2 linked regions of the Cricetulus griseus genome follow. The protein of the gene in region 1 interacts with the protein of each later gene in a pairwise test. Links are inferred from orthologs where the notes say so. Each region holds a gene or a part of one and is shown on either strand. Other genes may lie near its edges.

What was found.
Region 2: the proteins of Fez2 (region 1) and Scoc interact in binary tests that used the Homo sapiens proteins (3 or more experiments, as listed by UniProt). The link is inferred for Cricetulus griseus from reciprocal best matches to the Homo sapiens genes FEZ2 and SCOC.

What each region holds. Positions count from the first base shown.
Region 1 is NC_048600.1:5,604,060-5,616,755, forward strand, and holds the start of Fez2 (fasciculation and elongation protein zeta-2), read left to right. Parts: upstream 1-5,207; 5' UTR 5,208-5,254; coding exon 5,255-5,505; intron 5,506-10,359; coding exon 10,360-10,468; intron 10,469-12,696. UniProt on the Homo sapiens protein: Involved in axonal outgrowth and fasciculation.
Region 2 is NC_048596.1:159,071,198-159,083,401, forward strand, and holds part of Scoc (short coiled-coil protein), read right to left. Parts: intron 5,131-12,204; coding exon 4,939-5,130; intron 2,177-4,938; coding exon 2,105-2,176; intron 1,653-2,104; coding exon 1,569-1,652; intron 81-1,568; coding exon 1-80. UniProt on the Homo sapiens protein: Positive regulator of amino acid starvation-induced autophagy.

The sequences.
Region 1 (12,696 bases):
TTTCTGTCCGTGTCTCAAATTCTTCAGAATGCCCAGTTCCCTGTTCTGTGGGAGGTATTTGTGAGCAGAAAGAACTAGTTCTTCTCTTTACACACCAGATACCCATTCAACACACTCCTGAGAGACCTTCCCAGGGCCACCATCGAAGCCCGAAGAAAAGGCGGAATTGTCTCTTGTTGAACTTGTGAGGCACCTTTTGGGGACTTCTTGAAGCTACTGTGGTGGCTGTGGGAGATGGATTGGCATAACTCTGCCAGGGCCAACATGACAAGATAATGGGTGGTTTACACCATAACAATGTATTCCCCCTGCTTCTGGAAGTTGCAGGTCCAGTACTGAAGCGCGCGCAGGGCTAGCAGTGTTTTCTTACCTCCGTTTCACCCTGCCTTTGTGTGGTCTCCTTCGGGGCCTGTGCACCCTTGGGGTTTCTCTTTGGGCCCAAATACCATTTTTCAATAAAGCTGGACTGGACTACGGCCTCCTTAAAGGCTTCACTCTACCTTAGTCATCTTTAAAATATTATCTTCAAATACTGAGATATCCATCCAGTCTGAGAGGTTCTGCATCTGAGATTTTTTGGTTTTGTTTGTTTGTTTTTCCAGGACAGGGTTTCTCTGTGTGGCCCTGGCTGTCCTGGAACTCGATCTGTAGACCAGGCTGGCCTCCTCTGCCTCCTGAGTGCTGGGATTAAAGACATGTTTCACCACCGCCCGGCCTGCATATGAGTTTCAAGGGATGTAGATCATCCCAGAACAAGAGGAAATGGCTGCGGCTGGGATTAGCTGGCAGTCTGGGCACATGTATCCTAGAGAATGCTCTTTCAATCCGGCATGTGAAGACTCAGTGGTGTAGATGTATAAAAACACAACTCAGGGGGTTCCTGGAACCCCACTAAGGTTCATAGAGTTGAATGAGCTATTAAAATTCGGAGTCTGGTGTTAATTCAGGACTTTTGTAAGTTTCCCATCCCGTGAGACTTCAGAGACACACTGATTCGCTTTCTCAAACAGCAAATAGTCTCTTGAGGGTTACAAGTTTCTCCCCACAATGTGGGAGAAGACTAAGGTTTCTTTCTTTAAATGGCACAGCAAGGACTTTACAAAGCCCCCCTAGCTTGAACCCTGTATTACTAAATTAGAAAGAGTTAGTGACTTCTGTGTCTATCCTAGTCAAATTGAGCAGAAAATTGAGTAATTACTTGTTTGCTTAAATTACACAAACAATTATCTTAACAGTCCACTTTGTTTTGCTTTTGTGGATCCAATTGCTGTCTGGCTTCAATAGTATGTCCGTTTAGGTTCAGACCATTTGAAGAGTCTATTTTGGTGTGGCAGTATTGAACGGCCAACAGTGAGGGCGGAGACAGAGGCTGAATTTCTAGGCAGGGATAGTACACAGGAGGAGGCGTTTAGGCTCAGGGAAGAAAGAAAAGGAGATGCTGGGGACCAGCCAGCCAGACAAGGAAGCAGGAAAGTAGGATATACAGAATGAAAGCCAAACCTTCATAATTAATAATAAGTCTCTGTGTCTTTATTTGGGAAGCTGGTTGGCAGCACAAAGAAAATTCCAATTGTAGTCCTCCAATGAAGAGCTGCATTCCCTGGACCTCATGGAGCTTTAGTCCCAGCCGCTTGGCTTCTCTTCTGCTTTAGACTCCTCTGAATTATCAGTTTCTCTTAGAGACCCACTGGTGTCTACTTTGATGCCACTTGTCTCCAGACCTCCCCTTCTACCCAGATGCCACTTAGTATTAATTTGTCATTGTACTTAGTGCAATTTAGAAGAAAATTATTTCCTACCCCACCCCCAAATGAATAGGGAGTGGGCTTCTTTGGTTTCTTGACAGTGGGAGTCTTTTCTTTCTTTCTTGAATGGGCCAAAGAGATGTCCCAGCTCCATTGAATTTCTTCTCTATAACTCTAACACTGGAGTTATAGCTTCCAGTGTTCTGAAAACTCAAGCTCACCAATGCCAATACTCTATTTTATTAATGGTTTATTACTTTGCAGTAAAGTTAATTTATGTAACGAATGCTCTTTATTAACACATGCTAGATTGTGTGTGGTCTTAGTTTTAATTGACATATAATACATACATATTTGTGGAGTAAAATGTAGTAACTTGATAAATGCTTACATTTGGTGATAATCAAATCAGGGTAAATTAACATTTCCAACTTCTTAAAAAATATGGCTTCTTTGTGTGTGGTCTTGGACTGCTCAAAAGATTTTAAACAGGGAAACGAATTGAAAGAAGCCATTTTTCAATTTTGACAAGTAAACAATTTTTCCTTAAATTCATGGGTCAATATAGATTTCTGTTCTTTCTATTTTTATTTTCTTCTCTGTCTACTTGTTGGTCTGTCTGTCTTTATCTGTTTTCTCTTTTTGTAATTACTAAGTAAACTTAGCCATTTTGAGTTTTTCTCTAGAAAATGTCATTTATAGACCTTCTTCTCTGTTTCTTTATGAGCCTTTAGCATCTGCTCAGCATGGTACTTTGTTGACTAGACATTTTTGGTATATATATACACAGGTATATGTATACATATATTTCCAAATTTCTTTTTATTTAGTCTTCATTCATACAATAATCCTAACTGCAATTTCCCCTTCTCCATTCCTCCCAGTTTCCCCCCACCTTCCTTCTTCATCATGCCCACTGTTCCTTCATTTCCCTTCATAAAAAGAGCAGCCCACCCAGTGATGTAAACTCATGACAGCTGAATAAGAAGTAGCAAGACGAGGATAGACCCTCATATCAAGGCTGAATGAGGCCGCTATGTTGGAGGAAAGGGTCTCAAGAGCAGGCAAAAGAGTCAGAGAGACACCCCCACTCCCATTGTTAGGGGTCCCACAAACCCCCCACACCCCCACCTCTTTGCTAAACAATCACAGTATGTAAGCAAGATCCTGTCGCAGACCCATGAAGGCTCCTGGGTTTCCCAGTCTCTGTGAAAACCCATATTTCCTTTCTCTTTTGTTTTATGTTTTCAGATTAATTGTATGTTTAGGTGATTTACATGCTAAGTAATATACTTGTCCAATGTTTGTAAGTTTTCACCAGGACATGTGATATGCATAAATTTCAATGCACTGTAAATCTGAGATGTTTCCACTCAGTCTTTATGTGAACATATCACTCAAGTACCATGAAGCTGTTTTTCTGTCTTCCCTAATTTTGAACCAAGTGCTATAAGTTATTTTTCTCAGATAACTTTTTTCTTTTTAAATTTAGTTTTAATTTAGAACCTTACAGCTTTCCCCTCTCGGTTGTCCCGCCCTCAAATTTATGGCCTATTTTTCTTTCATTATTATTGGTACATATACAAGCTAACTTTTTTGTTTGCTTGCTTGGTTTTTGTTTTTCGAGACAGGGTTTCTTTGTGTAATAACCATAGCTGTTCTGGAACTAGCTCTGTAGACCAGGCTGGCCTAGAACTCACAGAGATCTACCTGCCTCTTTCTCCCGAGTGCTGGGATTAAAGGCATGTGCCACCACCACCTGACTTTTCTTAATCTATCAAATGTTCATTTTCATAGGGCCTCTAGGAGCTGGTAGGAGATAGTAGGTATAAAATAAATAAGTTTGAGTGAGTCAGTTGGTAGACTTGGGCTGTACGACATGGTTAAAGGAGGCCTGCTTTTTCCTCAGAGGCCTCTGGGTTCTGGTGGGCTGTCTACACCTGAGGCTGGGGCTCCTTTGTTCAGATGGGTGGCAGTGAAGGAAGCTCAAATTTGGTTGAGGGGTAGGAGTGTTGTCAGGAAGGAGAGTGAGACTGTTGAGAGGAAATACTAAGTGGAGGAGTGCAGGGAACAGGAACTTGAGACTGGATAGTTTCTAAGATAGGCTGAGTGGAAGGACTCTGAAGAAGGGGTGGGTGGACATGAATAGTGCCACAGCTTGGGCAGAAATGGGTCTCCTACTGGATGTCTTCTTACACGTCAACCATTCTCCACCTCTGAAGGCGGGGTTTAAATGAGTTCACCAGACTCAACATAAATGACAAATAGGTATTTATTAGGTAAGCATTTACACAGATAAGAGTAAATAACCTATGAGGTCTCCCTGCTCTAGAAGATGCAGTCTCTGCCCTTTAGATCTCTCTGCAACCCAAAAGAGTGCTAGCCAGCCCCTCCTCTACCTTATAATGAAAGGGTCACATCTGCACCTGAAAACCATGCCCAAAGGGTGTGGCCACTACCACCAAGTTCACTGGCAAGGCAAGATGCTACTGCATACCTCCTTTTGACCAAGGGGGAAAATACTATATGCTAGGAAATTTATTAGACATTTTGTATTCATTGTTTTATTTAATCACACATAAAAACAAGTCCGATGGTAAATAGAGATGCCCAATAAAATTTTATAGAATTTTGAGTATGTGGGTATATAAAACGTTTTATAATATATTATTTACTGATGTTTCACCCCCTGAATGACACATTTTAAGAGATACGGGTTTTGTCAATTCCTAGTCATTTAATGCTTCTACCTACTTTCCCTAAATTTTACTGTAGTTGAATGCACATAAAACTGCAATTCTAGTCATCTTCAGGGCACAGTATATCCATACTGCATACAACCATCGCAACTCTCTATGTCCATAAATCTTTTCAACTTGCAAAACAGAGATGCTATATCCATGAAACAAAAACTTCCCATACCTCAGTCACACTTTTACAAGATTTAAAATTCACTTAGCCTTAACACTCCAGCTACAGTAATAAGGGAATGCCCTTGGAGAGCAAGCAGATGGGTATTTACTCTTCAGGCATTTTCCAAATTCTTCGAGAATACTACTCACTTACACAATCATGAATTACACAATCATATACTAGCTGAAGCTAGTATATGCTTTGCACGTGGGTGAGATATATTTGTGGAATGAATTTCGGTTACCACTTAAATATTTGCCAGTACCTCTTGTCATTCTGGATGGAATGTTATGAGAGTTCCCTTGGAGCAAAAAAAAATCTGACACTAGGTTTAAAACAATCTTCCTTTTAGCCACTTTTAGCCAGGGACGCTGAGGGACGTTATTTCTAAATGATCAAGAACATAGGAAGTGACTCAACTCAGTTAAGCTCTTCCTTCCCCTGGGAACTGGTGCTCAGCTCCAAAAGACTCAGGAAATGAAGATTCTGGACTCACTCACCCCAGAACAGGCGGGTAAGGGGCGTGGCCTCGAGTGGGCGGCGCCAGAGGGCGTGGCCGTCCGGCCGGGGCGGGGTGCGGGCCGGTAGCGGGCGCGATGGCGGCGGATGGGGACTGGCAGGATTTCTATGAGTTCCAGGAGCCGGCCCGGAGCGTCCAGGACCAGGAGAACTGTAACGCGAGCCCCGAGGCCGGAGCTGGGGCACCCGCGGGCGGCGACAGCTTCCCGGCCTTGGCCTGCAGCCTGGAGGAGAAGCTGAGCCTGTGCTTCCGCCCCTCGAAGGACGCCGAGTCCCCGCGGGCGACCGTGCGGCCCATCACGGAGCACAGCCTCCTGCAAGGGGACGAGTGAGTGCGGGCCCCGGAGCGGGCGGGAGCCGTCCCTACCTCGCCCTGTCCCCGTGGCCCCGGGAGTCCGAGCAGGCCCCGCCCCCCGCCCTCCTTCCTCCGGGGACTCTCCCAGCCCCGCCCCCCGCCCGCCCCGTCCCGTCCCGCCCCGCTCCGAGCTGCCGGCCTGGTCAGCTGGAGTTTAAAAGCCCGCTGCCCCTGCCTTCCCTGGATCACCCCCTGCAGCTCCCTGTGTGTTTACTTGTGGGAGATCCTGCCTCCTGGGGCATGTGTGGGTCATTCATTCATTCATTCATTCATTCATTCATTCAACTCACTTCTGTTAAAACCCCTGCCAAGGGCTTGGCACTGCCATTGCCAAAGTGTGCATTGCTCCTTTCAAAGAGGACACCGAGTGGGATGGGACATGGATTTGTTAAACACATGTTTTATGAGTGTGATGAGTGCTTTGATGGATGTTTGTACCGGATATGGATGATTTATTTCAAAGGGGATGTCCGAATGAAGACTTTATAGAGAACCCGCAAATTGAATTCTGGTGGAGTTAGGTGCCAAGGTGCAGGGGAGTGAGGTACCATTGAAGTCACACAAGTCTGTTGGGACCATAAGAGCAAACTGCCACAGAGGCAAAAAGTGAAGGGCGGCAGTTACTAATGACAAGGACCCGATAGTGTAATCGAGAAGACTAGTGCACGGCCTGCAATGGCTACAGAATCTTGTATATGATTAGTTTCAGTGAGGACATTCACAGGGGTTGATGAGAGCACTTTATTTAAACACCTTGAACCCCAATTATCGTTTGGTTAAGTGAGAGTTGCAATTATGTACCGTAGTTTTTCCCCTGTCAGATAGCTGAAAGAAAGAGTGGTGAGAGCCAGCAAGCTGGAGTGTTTTGTTTGTAGAGAGACGAGGCCCTTTAGAAGCCATATGGACACTAAGGACTCTGAGAAGGTGATGGCTGGGACCGTTTCCAGGCATTGAAGATGTGGAGGGACTAGAGATTAGTGGGAGGAAAATTAAATACAAACACTTTTATTACATTTTATTAATTTTGTGAGTCCTTGTGTGAGTGAGGGTGGGTGTAGCAAGCCTGTCAACTGCTGTGGCACATACTTGGAAGTCAAACGGCCACTTGTGGATGGTCTCCCCCCCCACCCCCTTGTTTTTCTCGGTGGCAGCCACCTTTAGGGACCAAGCCATGTGAGGAATTCTTGAATGATGATAGGATTCATGAAAAAAAGTTTTAATTCCTCAAAAATTAGGATATTTGTCAAGAAAGAGCAAACATACACACAGAGAGGGCATATGTAAACATGGTTGAAGAGCTTCATTCCAACACCGTTCCTTTTTATCATTCTTGTTGCCCAAGGGCAGAGGAGGGCTAAGTTTATGATGGGTTTAAAACAAAGAGATGAGCATGCAGTTCGTAACTAAAGGTGAGTTGTGTGGAATTTCCCAGAGAAGATAATAGCTTCATCTATTTGTGGATTTATACACTTTAATTATTGAGACTTACTGAATATTCTGGGTTTTAAGGTTATATTCATGAGTAACTTTTTTTTTTTTTTTTTTTTTTTTTTTGGTTTTTCAAGACAGCGTTTCTCTGTGTAGCTTTGGAGCCTATCTTGGCACTGGCTCTGGAGACCAGGCCGGCCTTGAACTCACAGAGATCCGCCTGCCTCTACCTCCCGAGGGCTGGGATTAAAGGCATGAGCCACCAACGCCCAGCCTCATGAGTAACTTAAAGCAGATGAGTGTGGCTTGGTACTGAGATTCTTAGAGTACCTATTTTTGCTTCAGCTGGACATTCTGCAAAGTTTATTTTAGCCTGTCCTTCAAACTTAGGTGGCTGTAAAATCTAAACTATTTTGTTGCTTTTCCTGTTTTGCTTCTTGTAGTCCAGGCTGGCCTTGAACTTGCTATGAAGCTAGGGCTGACCTTGGCCTCCTGACCTTCCTGCTGCCCTCCAAATGCTGGAATTCCTGGAATAAACCAGTAAACTAAGCCTTTTGTTACCCATTTCCCTCAATTTGGAGATAGAGTCTCATGTAGCTCAGGCTAGCTTCAAACTCATTTTGGAGATGAGGTTGACCTTGAACTCCTGATCTTTCTGCCTCCACCTCTTGAGTGCAGAGATTACAGGTATGCACCAACACACCCAGTTTTCTGTGTTGCTGGGGTTGGATTCCAGGGCTCATACATGCCGGGCAAGCATTTAGCATTTGTGCTATAAATTTAGCCTGGTTGCTCCTGATAGGAGCTGTGTTGGTGAGAGTGCATGTCTCCTGATTGGGGATGCATAGCAAACCTTTTAAGAGCCAGGGCTCACTCCTTTTTGTCTCCTTTCTCTGGTATACTTTTGCTTTATAGGGTCCATTCCAGCTTCCTTCAACAGTCAGAAAATCCCTTTGTCCGCTTCCCACCATGACTGGATTTTTACTTAACTTCCTTGAGCTTTGCTTTCAGTTTCTGTCATTATGGATTTACTCATCTGCTGAGAGCTTCAGGACATTGTCCCTTGGAGCCACTGTACACAGGACTTTGGCTGGGAGGGAGCGCTTCCACCAGCTATTTATGACAGGTCACAGTGTTTATGATAAAGACAAGGCAGCTCAGATGTCTTGACTGGCGAGTTCGGGAAACCTTAGGGGAAGTTGGCCTTATATCCTTCTAGCTGCAATTGTTCTGACCTTGGGAGAGAGAATGCCTTGTTTATTGTGCTGTTTTCTTGGAAGCTGGAACCCACAGCTGCTCCTAGTAGGAGAGGTACTCCACTATCTTTGTCTTACAGCTTTTTGTAAGAAGGGTGTGACCAACAGACAAAACAACTCTTCCAAACCCGGGACTCCTCACCTTTTAGAATAGTCTGTGTCCTTGGCCAGGGTTAGGGATATAATCAGCTGTTAGGGTTTGAAAGTTGTGACCCAGGATAGTAAGTAACTCCCATTACCATCAGCCAGTAGCTGCCCTTGTTCCCAGTTCTGGTTCATTGACACTAGAGAACATCAGGTTCCAGCTATGATGCAGTCTGAGGGAGCCTTACATAGGGGATATTTGTAGGGTGATAGACCCCACTTTGTAGAGCTTTTTGGGTTCATGTTTTTCTTGTGGTTTGGAAGCCACACACCCCTTGGGATGTTATACGTCTGGAAACTTCTATTCTTAAGCATAGAATCCTTGTTTATTAAATCAAGTTTTTTTTTTTTTTTTTTTTTCTACTTTCTTTCTTTCTGAGACAGGATTTTTCTGTGTAACAACTCTAGCTGTCCTGGAACTCACTCTGTAGACCAGCCTGGCCTTGAACTCACAGAGAGCACCACCACCTGGCTAAAAGAAGTGTTATTTCTTTGCTGCAGTTGTGTTTTATTTTTATTTTATTTAAATTAATTTTTTTTTTTTTTTTGCATATGGTGCCCTATCTGCATTTTCACCTGCAGGCCAGAAGAGGCATCAGATTCCATTATAGATGGTTGTGAGCCACCATGTGGTTGCTGGGGATTGAACTCAGAACCTCTGGAAGAGCAGTCAGTGCTCTTAACCGATGAGCTATCTCTCCAGCTCACTTTGGCAATTTTAAACTTACCTTGTTATGTTTTTGCCCTTGCTAGGATTTTATCCTGATTGCTGACCAACTTGAAAAAAAAGGCTTATCTAACTATTTCATGATTTATTATTATTTACAATTAGATACCTTTTACAAATTTTAACATAACAAAGGTGACATGTTAGTGTAGTCTCCTAGGAAGTAGCTCAGATGTGTAGTGTTTAACCTCACTTACCCTACTTAAATTTCATCTTATTGATGCTTATGAATTTAGGCTCCTTCCCCCCAATAAAGCATCATGTTTTACTATGGTGATTATTATTTTTGTACCAAACCCTGGCTTTTGATCCTGAAGTCTACCCTCTTTGTTCATTGGAACTAGAAAAGGTGCCTACTTCATGTCCAAGCTTCTTTTTGTGGCTGGGCAGCTGATACCCAGGCAGTTTAAGGAACTTGGCCAAAGATTGGCCAAGGGAAAATGAATATATGAATCTGTTTCCTGAGTCTGAGTTCAGTGCCTCTTTGTTTTACCCCATCTCCCTACCTCAGATGCTGTTTGATAAGAAAGTGGTAATTGCATTGACTGTATAACTTGCCTGAATTTATGTGACCTCTCACTCTTTCAACTTTCATCAGCCCCAGTCCTTATCCTGTTACGTTACAAATAGATATGAATCCCTGCTCTCACACTGAGACTGAATCCTTGTTCTAGAAAATACAGCATGTCTTTGGAAAGCACAGCATGTTTACTTTGTGTTTCTGAAGATAATACTGCAGTTTTCTGTGTTTCCTGGCTCTTCACTTGGAAAATGAAGATAATAAAGGTTTCTGCTTCTAATGTTTTTGAGGATGAAATGAATTCGTATACTTTCGTGTGTATGTGTTGAGTCTATATCTCGTTTATCTACACTTTTTTTTTTACATTTAATCGCTCGTTGTGTGTGTGTGTTTATGTGCTGTCATCCTTCTGTGTATGTGTCCTATAAACTGAACAGTATCCTGTGCGTAGTCCATCTGATTATGTGATTTTTCATGACTCTAGCTTTGTCGATGTTTTTCTAAGAAACAATGCACCTTTTATTTTTTTAAATTTTTTCAAAGTTTCCCTTCTACCATCTGCACATGTTTTTTTATTATTTAAATTAGAAACAAGATTGTTTTACATGTCAGTCCCAGTTCCCTCTCCCTTCCATCCTCCCTCGCCCCCTACCGACTCTTATTCTGGGTCCCTTAACAGTAGTACTGGATTTTAAAAAAAAAAGCCATGAGGAGTGTTCCATTTCACTGATTGCTGTTTTCTTCTGTTTAAGGATTTGGAATGCCCTGACAGATAATTATGGGAATGTCATGCCTGTAGACTGGAAGTCGTCCCATACGAGGGCTTTGCATTTGCTCACTCTGAACCTCTCAGAGAAAGGGGTAAGTGAGGAGCTGGACCAGAGCGGCTGCAGAGCCAGTGCTGATAGTGGGACAAGTTTGTGGAACGGACGGACAGCGTCTTATTTTCAAGCTACTGGCTGGCCGGCCCATTCTTGCTATCTTGTTTTCACTGCTGTCTCTTTGCTGGTGCAGTCCTGCTGTTCCTCATGTGTTTATTTTTGCATGGCCGTTAAATTCTCTCACCAACGATCTCCATCTCCTTCTGTTTATACAACCAAACTGTGATATGGCGAGATCAGTCAGATTCCTACCCTTTTATTTATTTAATATATTTGGGGTACTGGAATATCAGCAGTTATGTAATTTAGTGATGCTAGGCATGACACACATTCCTGTGAGTACTGGGGAACCATTAAAAGCCATTTCTGTTCTTGAGTTTTTGTGTGCATATATGTATCCATACACTCAGGTGTGTTGGAGCGTGTGCACATGCATGCATATGTACATTTTGTACCTTTATCTGGTGGCATCGGGTATTCATTTCAGTTATTTTCTGCCTTATTTTTTGAAATAAGGTCTCTTATTGAATCTGGAGCTCACTAATTCAGATTCAACCATCGAGCCCCAGGTATCCTCCCATCTCTCTTCCTGGCTCTAGGATGACAGGTTACACACCACCGTGCCTGGCTTTCATGTGGGGGTTGTGGATCTGAATTTAGGTCCTCATGCTTGTGTCTCCCCACTTTAGCACCCAGATGCCTTCCCATTGTTGATTTTTGACTGCCACATGAAGATATCTTATGTAACAATGTGAGCACAGTGATGCCATGGCTAGGGGCCAGAAAAGGGAATGGTTTGAAGTAGACACTCACAGAGTTACATTTGTTTAAAGATGATGAGCCCCATAGCCAAATTATTTAAATCTCACATTCACCCTGTTTTCAGTTCTTCAGCAGAGAACAATGTAAGCTTATGTCAGATCCCCTGGCACACTCTATTTCATTAAGTGTGATTGTGCTGTGGGGCTGTCAGTATGTTAAATAGCATTGTTAATGTTTCATGAAATGATTTTTCTTAAATATTTGACGTGGAAAAGCCTGTTGCTTTCAATTTCTAGTGGAATATGGAATTCTGGCTCTGTCTGCCAGAGTTCTCGTAGCCTCACTGCTTCTCCCTGTCATTAACCTCTTTAAGCTTTGCAGGCTGACCTGACATACATGTACTAAACAGGACAGTAGCTAGATAGCTTTCATTCTATCTTTTGTTTATTTAGGGCCTAGCTGTCATTTGGGGCTTTGTCCAAGTCCCCCCTCCCCCAACCTCACCCCCTAAACGTCCTATTACTGTTTTAGCCTTTGCTGAGCTCATGGAATTATACAATTTTAGAGTTGGAAGGATCTTTAAAGGACACTTAATCCAGTGTCTCAGATGGGGAGAAACCCCACCTACAGCATCACTGACAGATGGTTACTTTGCCATGGCCTAAATCCTTGCACGGAAGAAAACACACTCCTGTGTGGAATCTGGAGAGCCCTGTGGAGACATGCACATGTTTATAGGGTTTGTTTCCTGTCCCATGGAGTTTAGCGCTATTATCTCATGGGCGCTAGTCCCCACAGCGCAGCGTCCATGTGTCTTTCAAATCATCACTGTGCTGTTTTACTAAGCATGTTTCTGAGCCTGTCATTAGATGGTGACTTTCTAGTAACTGTCTCTATGCCTGACACTTAGTGAGGGCTGTGTAGCCTGTTTGTGGAGTAAGTAAACGAGCAAATAACCTTATCACTGAGACTGTGAAGTCAGAAACCACGATGGAAATTTTGCCTTGTTTTAATTCCTTTTCTCTTTTTGTGTGGATTGAAGGGACCCATGGGTATATTTTCTTATTGACATGCTAAAAGAGTCGCATAAAACAGTTCATTTCATAGTTTGGAAAAGAAGCACATTAGCACCATGAATCAAGCACTCTGATCCAGCTTCATTGAATAAAATATAAATCTTCGGTTGTTTTTACTCTGTAACTCCACTCCTTTTGTTGTCCTTCGGATGCTGTTTTCAATGCCAGAGTAATGCTGTGGCCATGCTCGTGTCTAGTAAAGACTTGCCGTTTAATACTAGGACTGAATGTAAAAGGCTTTACCTGGAAAGACTCAGTATATTAAAATAGACAAGTGGTAATCAATCAGTCAATCATGTATCATGCTATGGCTATTCTTTTGTTGAATAGAATTGAATTAGAACTCCACTCCACAGAAAGATTATAGTAT
Region 2 (12,204 bases), on another chromosome or scaffold:
TATATATTGTCCAAGAACTTGATTTTCCGATTTTAGCTTCAGATTTTCTTCCTTAACTGCATCTACTCTTGCAGAAAGATCTATATTTAAAAAAATGCAATTATCAGTAAAATCATGGCAATGATTCCACATTATAAAATGCAAGATTCATTCAAAATATTCAAAAGGTGGAGACCAGGCTGGAGGTATGGCCCAGTGGTACAGCCCTTGTCTACAAGTGTGAAAACCTGGATTTGACCCCAAGCACTACCAATAAATACACAATTTGGAAAATCGAAATTTGGAAATTTTCTGTTTTTCAGTTCAGATTACTGGGGGTAAAGGCTTAAGTAAAGATGGTGAATGTTGACAGAGTTTCCCATGGGGCTCAGTCTGCAAAGAGCATTATGTTAACTCTTACAGTAGTTAGAAAACATTGTTTATAAAGGGTTCCTGTCCTACCATATGAAACTACAATGTCTTTACTGGAAATATTTAAGATCTGTAGCTTAACACAAGTGGACTCCTATGCTGGATATGAGATCCAAGCAGTGGTTAAACATCAGTTAAAAATTCGAAAGACGCAGGTCCTCATGAACAAGTAAAAAATTATCTCCATTCACACATTTAAAAATGTCTAATGATCAACAGGAGCAGGCATCATTCTAGAGGCAACAGTGAACAAGGTTATATGTGGGCGCATATGCATTCGGTAACACAGGCACCCAAGTGTCAGGAGTAAACATTAAGCATGTTGATACACTGTATGTCACACTTCTTCTAGAGAAAAAGTAAAATGACTAATGGTCATAAAAGCAGATGAGAAGTGCTTTTTTAGAGTTAACTATTTTGCTAAGAGTAATTAGACTAGAGGCCTGAAGGAACTGAGGAAATGAGCCACACAGACATGTATCTAAAGCAGGAGAGTTAAAGCAAAGGGGACAGCCAGATAACCTGTCAAATGAGAAGCTATTGTACATTTTGTGCCTCAACAAAAAACAATATTTAATGACACTGAATATCAGAAGCCAAGTCAGTAGTAGTAATTGTATGGAAGGAAGTCAGAAAATGAAAATAAATCTATGATCAATTGGAAACTCTGGAGGTCATGCTTCTTTTCATTTTAATAGAGCTTTCCCAAAACAGGCTCCAAAACACCCTACCAGATGTAAAGAGCTCTCATGCTAAGCCAGCATCCTGTGAACACCTTAAAGAGGACGCTCAAAAGCAGTGACTAATCTGAGGCATATTTGTCCTTTAGACAACCAGCCAGAAAGTAAGAGAAAACGGCTGGGGCCAGCAACATGGCTCACTGGGTAAGGATGCCCACAAGCCAAACCTGATTACCTGAATTCAGATCCATGATCCCTGTGATAGAAGGAGGGAACATTCCCACACATCAGCCTCTGACTTCACAGAGTGCCCCAGCAGGCACACCAGCCCACACTTACAAATAACAGTAACTTTTTTTTCTTTTTACAAAATAACAACAAAACAAAACAAAAACAAACAAAAAACCCACCAACTATTAACATGGACTTTGAAGTTAACTGGATGTCATTTACAAAAACTACAAAATTTACTCTAACCTTCAAGTGTGTGTTGAAGTTCCAACACCTGATTAATAAGTCGAGTCTTTTCTTCCAGTTCCACCTGATTTTCAGCATCAACTGCTGTAATAAAAAGTGTTAAATTTACTAATAACCACTGCCAGTTTTGACATGCAGCACTTAAAATTCTTCAGAACATTTTATAACCATTGTCTCAATAATTGTGTATACAGAACCTATACCTGAGGGCAGATGGGGCATTAAGCTGAACATGCCATACAGTTACAGAATTGAAGTCACCTTGGATAAATTCTACTGCAAATGGGAAAGTAGTCAAACCTAAACCTTCTCTGTGTAGCCCTGGCTGTCCTGAAACTCACCATGTAGACCAGGCTGGCCTAGAACTTAGAGATCCATCTGCTTCTGGCTCCTGAGTGTGGGACTAAAGGCGTGCGCCACCACTGCCTGGCTAACCTACACCTTCTAAAGATTGTTTCTCTGCTCTTTCCATTGCTTAATAAAGAAAAAGCATACAGAAAGGCAGAAACACACAGAAAACAGATTAAAGACCTTACCATCCATGTCAGCATTCATCATCTTGGGGAACAGACTTTCTGCTCTTGGATGCACACTCTTTGATGAATGGTCTGCAACAAGAAAAAGAAACAGACATAACAGTAAAATATAAGCTTGTTTTTCAAAAGACAAGGTAGTTAAAGGATGTGACCCAGAGGAACCCTTCTCAGGCCTTGCTGCTTTGAAGTGCGCATGGGGAGATAAGCAGAGGACTCAGAAACACTGTAAATCCTTTTACTAAGGACAATTAAAAGGGAGGAAAGGTAAACACATAAAAAAAATCCTTCAGAGACAGAATGTCCAGAGTACAAATGGAAAAGTGGACTCTCTGGCAGCTCTCAGTATGAAAGCTACCAAGCATCCTTACATAGCACTACTCCAGAACTGGAAAACTGAGCATGCTCCTGAACCACACGGAGAGCCTGGTTTCCACCACGGTTTACAGAGACTATCTGCACTTCAGAGAAAGTGAATTACTAGATTCTTTTTTCAAAATTCTTTTTTAAAAGTTATTCTAGCTATTATAGTATTTGAAGATCATACTTTAAGAATTCTTCTCATTGTCATGCAATAGTGGCACAGGCCTTTAATCCCAGCACTCGGGAGGCAGAGGCAGGTGGATCTCGGTGAGTCTGAGGCCAGCCTGGTCTACAAAGCGGGTTCCAGGACAGCCTCCAAAGCTACACAGAGAAACCCTGTCTTGAAAAAAACAAACAAATAAAAATTTTCATCAACCGAACAGATGTATGACAGGAATGTATATAAGGAAACTCTACTACATGCTAATGGTTTAAAACATATTCCTCTCCATGTAAACAACGTTCAAGTTTTAAAATGACAAAGCTGTTTTGTTTGTGTGTCTGTCTGTGTGCATGTTCACATGTGTATTTTTGTGCACATGTGGAGGCCACAAGTCAATTCTGGGTGTCTCCCTCAGTTCCTCTCCACTTATTTTTTTAAGACGAAGCCTCTGGTTGAACCTGGAACTCACCAAGTCCATCAGAGTAGTTTTAGAGCAAGCTGCAGAGGTCCACGCCACCTCCCAAGCACTGGGGTAACATGCACATTGCCACGCCTGTGAGTTGTGGGGTCACTGGATGCAGCATGTGCGCGCGCGCGCGCGCGCGCGCGCTCACACACACACACACACACACACACACACACACACACACACACACACACCTTACACAGTTAGTTTCTGACTTACCAGCTGCCCTAGCTCTGAGATTCTCTTCTCTTTGAAACTTTTCTTTGAAAATCACAGGAAATATCAGAGGCCTTGTGCACCTAGCTTGTTAGTGATTAGTCTGTAACCTTCTATACTTTAAATCCAGGAGTGGAAAGAGTAGAGAGAGTAAGGCTTAGGGGATATGGCAAGCACTAGGCCAGGATTAATTTAAACGACTGCCACACGCTCACACTGTACCTTCTAAGATGTTTAGCACAGTGATTAGACACAGGGCCAGAACTGAGTGGCCTAATCCACTTCACCAGAGTCAAGGCTATAGTCATGTCCATAGACGTGCCCAGTCTGTCCCTGTGCCCCCCCCCCATTTCACCTCAGCTCGGATTAAGTTTGACATTTCCCTAACACATCCATCCAAACACAGGACTATTCTGCTTTTGCATTCATGTTTTTCATATGTTGTCTACTTACCAGTGAGCCAGTGTTTTTAAAAAGTAAAGAGTACAATGCACTAAATTAATGAACTAAACACTTCACATATATAGTTTCATCAAAACAGAAGGAAACTGCAATTCACAGATGTGGATACTAAGCCTTCTAAAGGTCAGGGGCATTGCCTCCTGTTTCATAGCCAAGACATAATTACGGTCCTAATATCCTAATATGAGCTTGTCAAACGTTTTGGAAAATTCGAATTCTTTGGCATTTCCAAAAACTAAGCAACTAAGAATAAATGTCATTTGCTTCAAGCTGCTCCACTCGATTTGTTTCTCTGTCCATGTTCTGCTTTTGACATATTTTGGGTCTCAAATTCCATGAAAATCGAGGGACTATGCTCGCGGTCAATAAGGATTTCAAATTTAAGTTAGGCCTCCAGAGAGCTAGCTGCATCCAGTTTATCACTGAAGCATACAGCCACCAGGATCCCATGCACAGTTTGTTTGGACCTCAAAAACAGATAACGGTTTGGGAACATCTGTCCTTCCAACTACTACACAGTCAGAGTCTGGCAGTTACTCGGGAGGCAGAGGCAGGCGGATCTCTGTGAGTTCGAGGCCAGCCTGGTCTCCAGAGCGAGTGCCAGGACAGGCTCCAAAGCTACACAGAGAAACCCTGTCTTGAAAAAAACAAACGTCAGAGTCTGGTAGTTTATAACAGAAATCTTGGCTTTTCGGGAACGTATATCTTCTCCTTCCCAAACCTTATTCCCCAATATCTGTTCCACAGAATGCTTGAGAACAGCTGACAAAGAAACAAACCCAGGCCCAAGCAAAGATGTCCCACCCCAGTCAGGCGTGGACCACCACGCCTGAAACCCAATCCCAGGATTCAGGAGGCGGAGGCGGAGGATTGACGCGAGCTGAAAGGTAGCTGCGGCTGCAGTGCATCCTCTCCCACCACCTGGGTCCCCTCGCAGCCCCAAGGCGTCCAAGTCGGGCACCGGCAGGCTCTTCCCACGCATCCCGCTGCGTGCGGCCAGGAAGGAGGCTGCGTAGGGCTCGGCGGGGCGTCGGGCCTCGGGGCCCCGCGATCCAGCGCCCATACCGCCGCCCCGCCCCGCCCCGCCCCGCCTGCCGGGCCCCGGCGGTAACGAGGCTGCGAGTGCGGTCCCGCGACCCCAGCCCACGCCGCCCCGGGCCGCCTCACCTTGCGTCTGAGGCGCCGGGAGGGGGCGGGATGGGTAAGAAGCCTCAGGCCGCAGCTCTCGGACCAACTGACAGCAGCAGCTCCGCCCTCCCCGCCCACGGAGCGTGCGCCGAGCGAGGAGGCGGACTCCCACCAATCCCACCGCGAGATCGCACGCCTGCGCGTTGGCTGCTGGCCGCCCCGACCCCGCCCCTGGCGGAGCACCGGGGTCCACCTTTGCCCTAACAAAAGGGCATTGACGCCCAATCAAGATTGTTGGGTGTGTCTTGGAAAAGCAGCGACCAATCACAACGCAGAAGGGATGCCGCTCCAAAGAAGGCGAACCTCGCTGAGCAGGTTTTGTCTCGCCCGGAACCTGAAAAGTGCTTTTGGAAGTTGTTCCAGGTCATAGAATATTCTGGAGATTGATACAGCCACACTTTGTTCACATTCGAAGCAGAGTGAGCACAACAGTGCAGTCTGCCGTCCCTCGATCTAAAAGCACACTTTTCTTTCTTTTAATTTCTAAAATCAGAAAACGCATAAAGCATATACCATTAATGGATGTTTCTCTTCGTATCCCCGAATCCTGGACGATTTTTAAGCTCACAGTTAGCCTGATCACCTCATGATGCCTTAGGTCAGCATCGCCTGATCTCGTTCCATCTCACAGAAAACCTGAGACTTAAAAGCGTGTTTCTTATTCAGGGACAAATATACAACGTACTCGATACAGGGTTGCCATGTGGTCTTCTCATTCTAACCTAACCTTTGAAACAAAGTATCTTGCAGTTAGCACTGATTGACCACCAAGTATATCCCAACCTGCAAAGCGTCTTTGCTTTGACTTTAACAAAACCTGAGCTTAGAGACGAGTTTGCATATACTTTCTTCTCTCCCTGTCCCCTCCCACCCCACCCGCCTCTGTGTGTGTGTGTGTGTGTGTGTGTGTGTGTGTGTGTGTGTGTGTGTGTGTGTGTACACGCCTCACATAAGCTAAGCATTTCCTCTACCACTGAGTTGCAAAGGTGGTTATTTTAAAGAATGGTAAAATTTAAATTCAATGAAAGCCAGGGCCTCACTGTCCATACTGTAGACATTAAAGGTTACAAAGATGCTATGGCAGCCTTAGCATCAGGGTGCAGAACTTGGATGAAACTGACAGTTCTTTGAGAGAAAACACAACACAAAAGCTCACAGTAACAGATGACATTCAGAGCCCAGCTCTATTTTAAACTGTTCCCACAAAGGACATACAAGATCCAGGAGGATCTGTAGTAAAATTTTCCAAATATTTTAATAAAACTCAGTTCTGTAAAACTCTTCCAGGAAACACAGTAAGAGAGACCGTTCTCCAACTTATCTATCTGAAAGTCCATGAAGCACTGTGGTGATACATTATTTATGATTTATTAAAGCTGGCCTGGGGATTCAGAAAGCAAAGTCAGCCTCAAGCCATAGAAACCAGGCACACACCTTTAATCCCGGCAGCCAGAAGCTAGGAGATGGAGGTACACACCTTTAATCCTAGGACTCAAGATTAAGATTAAGGCCACCCAGATCTACACTAGGTTGATCCAGTCCTAAAGAGAAACAGCTCCTGCAAAAATGATCTCAGCACCTGAGATCACACACCTTTAATCCCAGCATTAGAGAGATATATAAGACAGGAGCAAGGTCTCAGTAACAGGCATTCATTCTCCAGACATAGTGAGGATAATTCTCCAGCCACATTGAGAATAGAAGACATTGAAGTCTCAGGATTCCCCAGCCATGCTGAGGAGAGGCAGCAGAATCAGCCCCTTCAGCCTGAGCTAATGGCCCACTATTTTGCTTCTCTGACCTTCAGCTTGAAGCTTGAACCCAATATCAGTCTCTGGGCCCTTTATTTATCACGTTACAGAGTACAAACTTGTGAAGGAGCAGAATGCATACCCAACATCACTTCAGCACTCACTTTTAAGCTGAATCAATGAGATCAATAATAGTGCTGGTATAAAGAGGTCACACAGATAAATAAAACAGGACAGGATCGGGAAAAAGCCCACATATTGACCCATATGGCCAACTGATTTCTCACTGTAGTACCAAAGTAATTCCATTGAGGGAACTTTGTCTTCAATAGCAGTGTTTGAACAATAGATATGGATAGGGGATAAGCCTTAACTCTGACCTCACAACATACAAAGTGTTAATACAAAATGGACATTGTCTAAAATGGAAGGTTAGACTATTTTTAGAAGACAGAGAAATCTTCACTAGCTTTGAATTGGCAAATACTTTTAAAGTCATAAAAAAAGCTATAAAAAATTCACTTGACAAAAACTAAAATATTTGCTCTTTGGAAAAATGAAAACGAAAGCTCACAGATTTGAAATGTTTGCAGTATATCATTTAACATACAGCTTGAGTTCACAATAGAAGAAGCCCAAGTTGAAGCTGTTAGCATGGTCAGGTGTTATATGAGGAAGAAATGATTCAGAATCAAGCAGAGAAGGTCCAAGCTCATTGTCATCAGGGGCTAAAGAGCTGGCTGAACAGTTAGGAGCCTGTCCACTCTTGCAGAGGACCCTGGTTCCGTTGCCAGCACTCATATGAAGGTTTACAACTACCTGGGAATTCCACCTCCAGGTGATCCAACACTCGCTTCTGTCCTCTGTGGACATTTCATGCAGGTGATGCCCATACATACCTACAAGCAAAATACTCATACACAAAAATAATTAACTCTTTTGATTTTTAAGTCACCCTGACCTGCCAGCCTGATACACTCTCGAGATGCACACAAAAACGTGCCTTCAGTAATTAAAGGGATCCTAACCACGCTGGATGTTTTAAAGTGAAATATGCTAAAGGGAGACATTTGGTACTTTAAATGGAGCCTGGTGTGTTCCCTGATACTTTAAACTCATGAATTCTCAAACCCTGCTTCATCTCGTTTCTTGATAAGAACTCACGTTTTCTTTTTTCTAATTCTTTTTCCCTTGCAAGGCTATTGAACTCACTGGAGAGCAAGCGCTGTCTTGAATTCAGTGACTAAAGACTGTACACTGCTTACTGAAATTTGATTTCAAAACTAGGTCTAAGAGCATATTTTGGAATAGAGTACTATACTTAGCATGAGCCATATTGTCATTTGGTAAATTAAGTTAGTTATGTGTACTTTTCTCAAGTTTGGCTAATTTATCAGTCATTTTCATCCATTTTTCAGGGCAAGTATAGAGGTTACCACTGCATTTTTTAGAGAGCTCTCCAAAGAATTAAAGATCTCAAGATCTACTTAGCATTAAACTTTGAACCTTAATGGGAAAAAAAGAAAATAATATGCTGATTTTTCCTCACATGTTTTTTAACCAGATTTTATTTTATTTACCTTTGTATAAGAAACACAACATAAGATATAAAAATAACATAATCAGCCCTTCATTTGCAGATGTACCTGCTTAGGACAAAGCCAAATTCATTAATTACTTCAATCCCTAATATATTATTGCCAAAATGTCAATGTTGTATGCAAATAGATGATTTGGAAAAACCTTGATAAGCAGTGCAACCAAGTTGCTGTGGTAGTGTGTGCCTGTAATCCCACAGACGGAGCCATAGGCAAGAAGTTGGCTCCAAGTTTGAGGCCAGCCTGGGCTACATAATAAGTTCCAGGCCAGCCTGGAAGCCTAAACATATTTCCTCAGCAGGTGATCTTTCACCACTCACAATTCCATGATCCTGTAACTCTCACAATCACACATGCACTCAAACAAACATACATCACAAATAATTTCAGGAAGGTAACACATTTCACTGAGTTTTATAGAAATAGTCTGTCTGGCTTTAAAGTCAAGATTAATCATTTGAGTATAGTAGCATTAAGAAAATTCTGGATTTTCTGTTTTGTTTTGTTGGTGGCCCACACCTTTAATCCTAACACTCAGGACGAAGAGGCATGCAGATCTCTGAGTTTGAGGCCACAGCCTGGTTTATATAGTGAGTTCCAGCATAGTCAGAGATATACAGAAAAACTGTGTCTCTAAAGAAAAAAAAGGAGAAAAAAGAGAGAGAGAAAAAAACTCTGTTTTTACTAAGCATAAGCTGTTGCCAGGCGGTAGTGGCACATGCCTTTAATCCCAGTATTAGAGAGGCAAAAGCAGGCCAACCTAGTCTACCGAGTCAGCTCCAAGAAGGCCAGAGTTACACAGAGAAACCTTATCTCGGAAAAACAGAAAGTAGGAAGTGATGCTTTGAAGAGCACAGAGAAGCCAGGGTTACAGAGTTACAACAGAATGGTCCCCAGTGGCTCTGAATGCCACCTGGCTAAAGGGCCTTCTTCAAATTGCCCTAACTGGTAGCTGTCTGTTCTCCCAGTCACCCTTTAGGAGAAAGGGGCCAGTCTGGGGGCTTCCCATTTTCTGTCAGGATCTGGGATCTTCAAACTTACAAGCTGATGCATCTCTTGTTTTACAGATGTTGGCAGATGATGAGATGTCCGGGTCAGAGTCTCAGCCTCCACCACTCAACACCCCACCCCTGCATGAACTTCATTCTGGGTTGCCCCCCATCCCCCACACCCAGAGTCTCAGAGTGTGGGGAGGCTGCAGTAGTGCTTACATATGCAGCATGCTGTGATGCAGGGCCAGAATGTGGAGACTGAAAATCTTTTGCCTCTATGGAAAGTGAAGCAAGCTTTTCCTGAACCAGGGCCAGTGTTTCCCAGGCACTGACTGGTGCACTGAAAACACACTCCATCAAATCCAGGAAAGGAATTCACGCTCTTGGCATGCCCACAAAAAATACAGTACCCCCAGGGTCCATGGCAACATCTCTCTCAGGAACCTCCTACCTGGGTTGTCTTCATTTCTGTGGCAAATTCCTGCCCCCAACCCCCTGCATTATACAACATCTCCAGGGAAATGTCTGTGAATGCCTCAGGAAGCCTGGGTGGGTTTCTTCTGGTCAAAAGAGAAGAAAGTCCACAGCTGCAGAAGAAGATCGTCGGCAGGAGTTGGGACCCTTGAGGAATGTCTGCGGCACAAACAGGGCATTTCACAGCTTACTTCAGACCTCCTGTTTTACTACTTAACCTAACTTCTCCATAGTTCCCAGTAAGAACAAGAGCTGGGGAGAGAGCTCAGGTGATTGTTTACCGTGCTAGTATGAGGACTTGAGTTCAATTCCTGTGACCCATGTGAAAACATCCAGATGTGGTTGGTGGTGAACGCTTGTAATTCCCTTGTTGGAGGATATGAAGAGGACCAAAACTCCAGGGTTTGCTGGTCAGTCTAACTGAACTGGTAAGTCCCAGGCCAGTGAAAGACCTGTCCCCAAAATACAAGGTGTGGTAGTGAAGGGACCAGCTCCCCATTTCGGCAGCCATAACATCCGAACTCATGCTTGTCTGACCTTGTCTTAGTCACTAAGGTCAGATGCCTGGCCCTTTTGGCAGCCATGACAATAACATGTGCTTTTCTTACCTTGCCTTGGTCACTAGAGGTTAGGTGCCTGTCTCATGACAAGGAACCAATCAGAAGTTAGCTGGTGGTGCTATGCTTTACAGCTCTGGGTGTGTTTTACAGACAAGCACACAGCAATGATGCACAGAGCATAGCAACCACCCTGGGAGGGCCTATGGGCCATAACAACCAGTTGGCCAATCAACACAGGGCAAGCCCTCCAAGCCTGGACGCACACCAATCCTGAGCCTGTGCATCCCCTAGACACTTCCCTTATGCTGCCCTACAAAATCTCTCTGCAGCCGGTTCGAGCTGTCTTTGCTAGCCATCTGCCATGGCAGGTGGATGAAAGACCCGAGCTAACATGGGGTTAGCTCATTAAACAACAATAAAGCCTCATGCTGTTTGCATCAAGCTTTTGAATCTGCCTGGTGATTGGGGTGACCGAGGTCCTGGGCTGAGACCCTGGAGGCCTGAGTTTTCCAGGCTGTAGTCATCCTAAGGAATGACTCCCAAGGTACACCTGTGTCCTCTACAAGCACAGTCACTCATGTGCATGGGCATCACACACACACACACACACACACACACACACACACACACACGTACACACACTCACATACACACACTCACATACACACACTCACATACACACACTCACATACACACACTCACATACACACACTGTGGGGGACCAAAATATTTCCACTATGGAATATTTTGAGATCCAGCCTTGGGTTTCACTAAACAGGAACACCAGAAAGCTCAGGCCCACTATTGTATTGTTAATGCCAGTAAGGCTACTATTGTTTACCATGGCCTCAGGATAATATGCCTCCTAATTTGCATCTCTATGCACCTAAGCATCTGAATAGGCCTGTACCTGGGCAGGGGGACCATAGGAGTGTGAGTAACATGTGAGGACAGAAGGTTAGGAGCGAGTGTGCGACCAGAGAGGAGAGAACAAAGACAGAAATGGTTCCCTCGTGGTAATGAAAGGATAGTTAAGAAACTGCAGTAAAGATGGAAAATAAAGAAATGACTCTAGTTCTACAACATGGAACTGAGAGCTCTCTAAAAATGACAAGATGCCTGTGTTTGGTCTTCATCTCCGCTGGGTTGCTAGGAGTTTCCAGGTCCACACCCCCCCACTCAGGCCAATCCTAATGTGTTAAGGTTGAGACATGCCGGGTCACGACAACACACACATGCACACAGACACATACACATACACACACACATACACACATACTGTAAGACCCCCGGAAAGCTCAGGCCTCCAGGATCTCAGCCCAGGACCTCGGTCACCCCAATCACCAGGCAGATTCAAAAGCTTGATGCAAACAGCATGAGGCTTTATTGTTGTTTAATGAGCTAACCCCATGTTAGCTCGGGTCTTTCATCCACCTGCCATGGCAGATGGCTAGCAAAGACAGCTCGAACCGGCTGCAGAGAGATTTTGTAGGGCAGCATAAGGGGAGTGTCTGGGGGACGCACAGGCTCAGGATTGGTGTGCCTCCAGGCTTGGAGGGCTTGCCCTGTGTTGATTGGCCAACTGGTTGTTATGGCCCATAGGCCCTCCCAGGGTGGTTGCTATGCTCTGTGCATCATTGCTGTGTGCTTGTCTGTAAAGCACACCCAGAGCTGTAAAGCATAGCACCACCAGCTAACTTCAGATTGGTTCCTTGCCATGAGGCAGGCATCTGACCTCTTAGTGACCAAGGCAAGGTCAGACAAGCACATGTTCGGCTGTTATGGCTGCCAAAATGGGGAGCTGGTCCCTTCAATACACACACACACACACACACACACACACACACACACACACACACACACAGAGTTG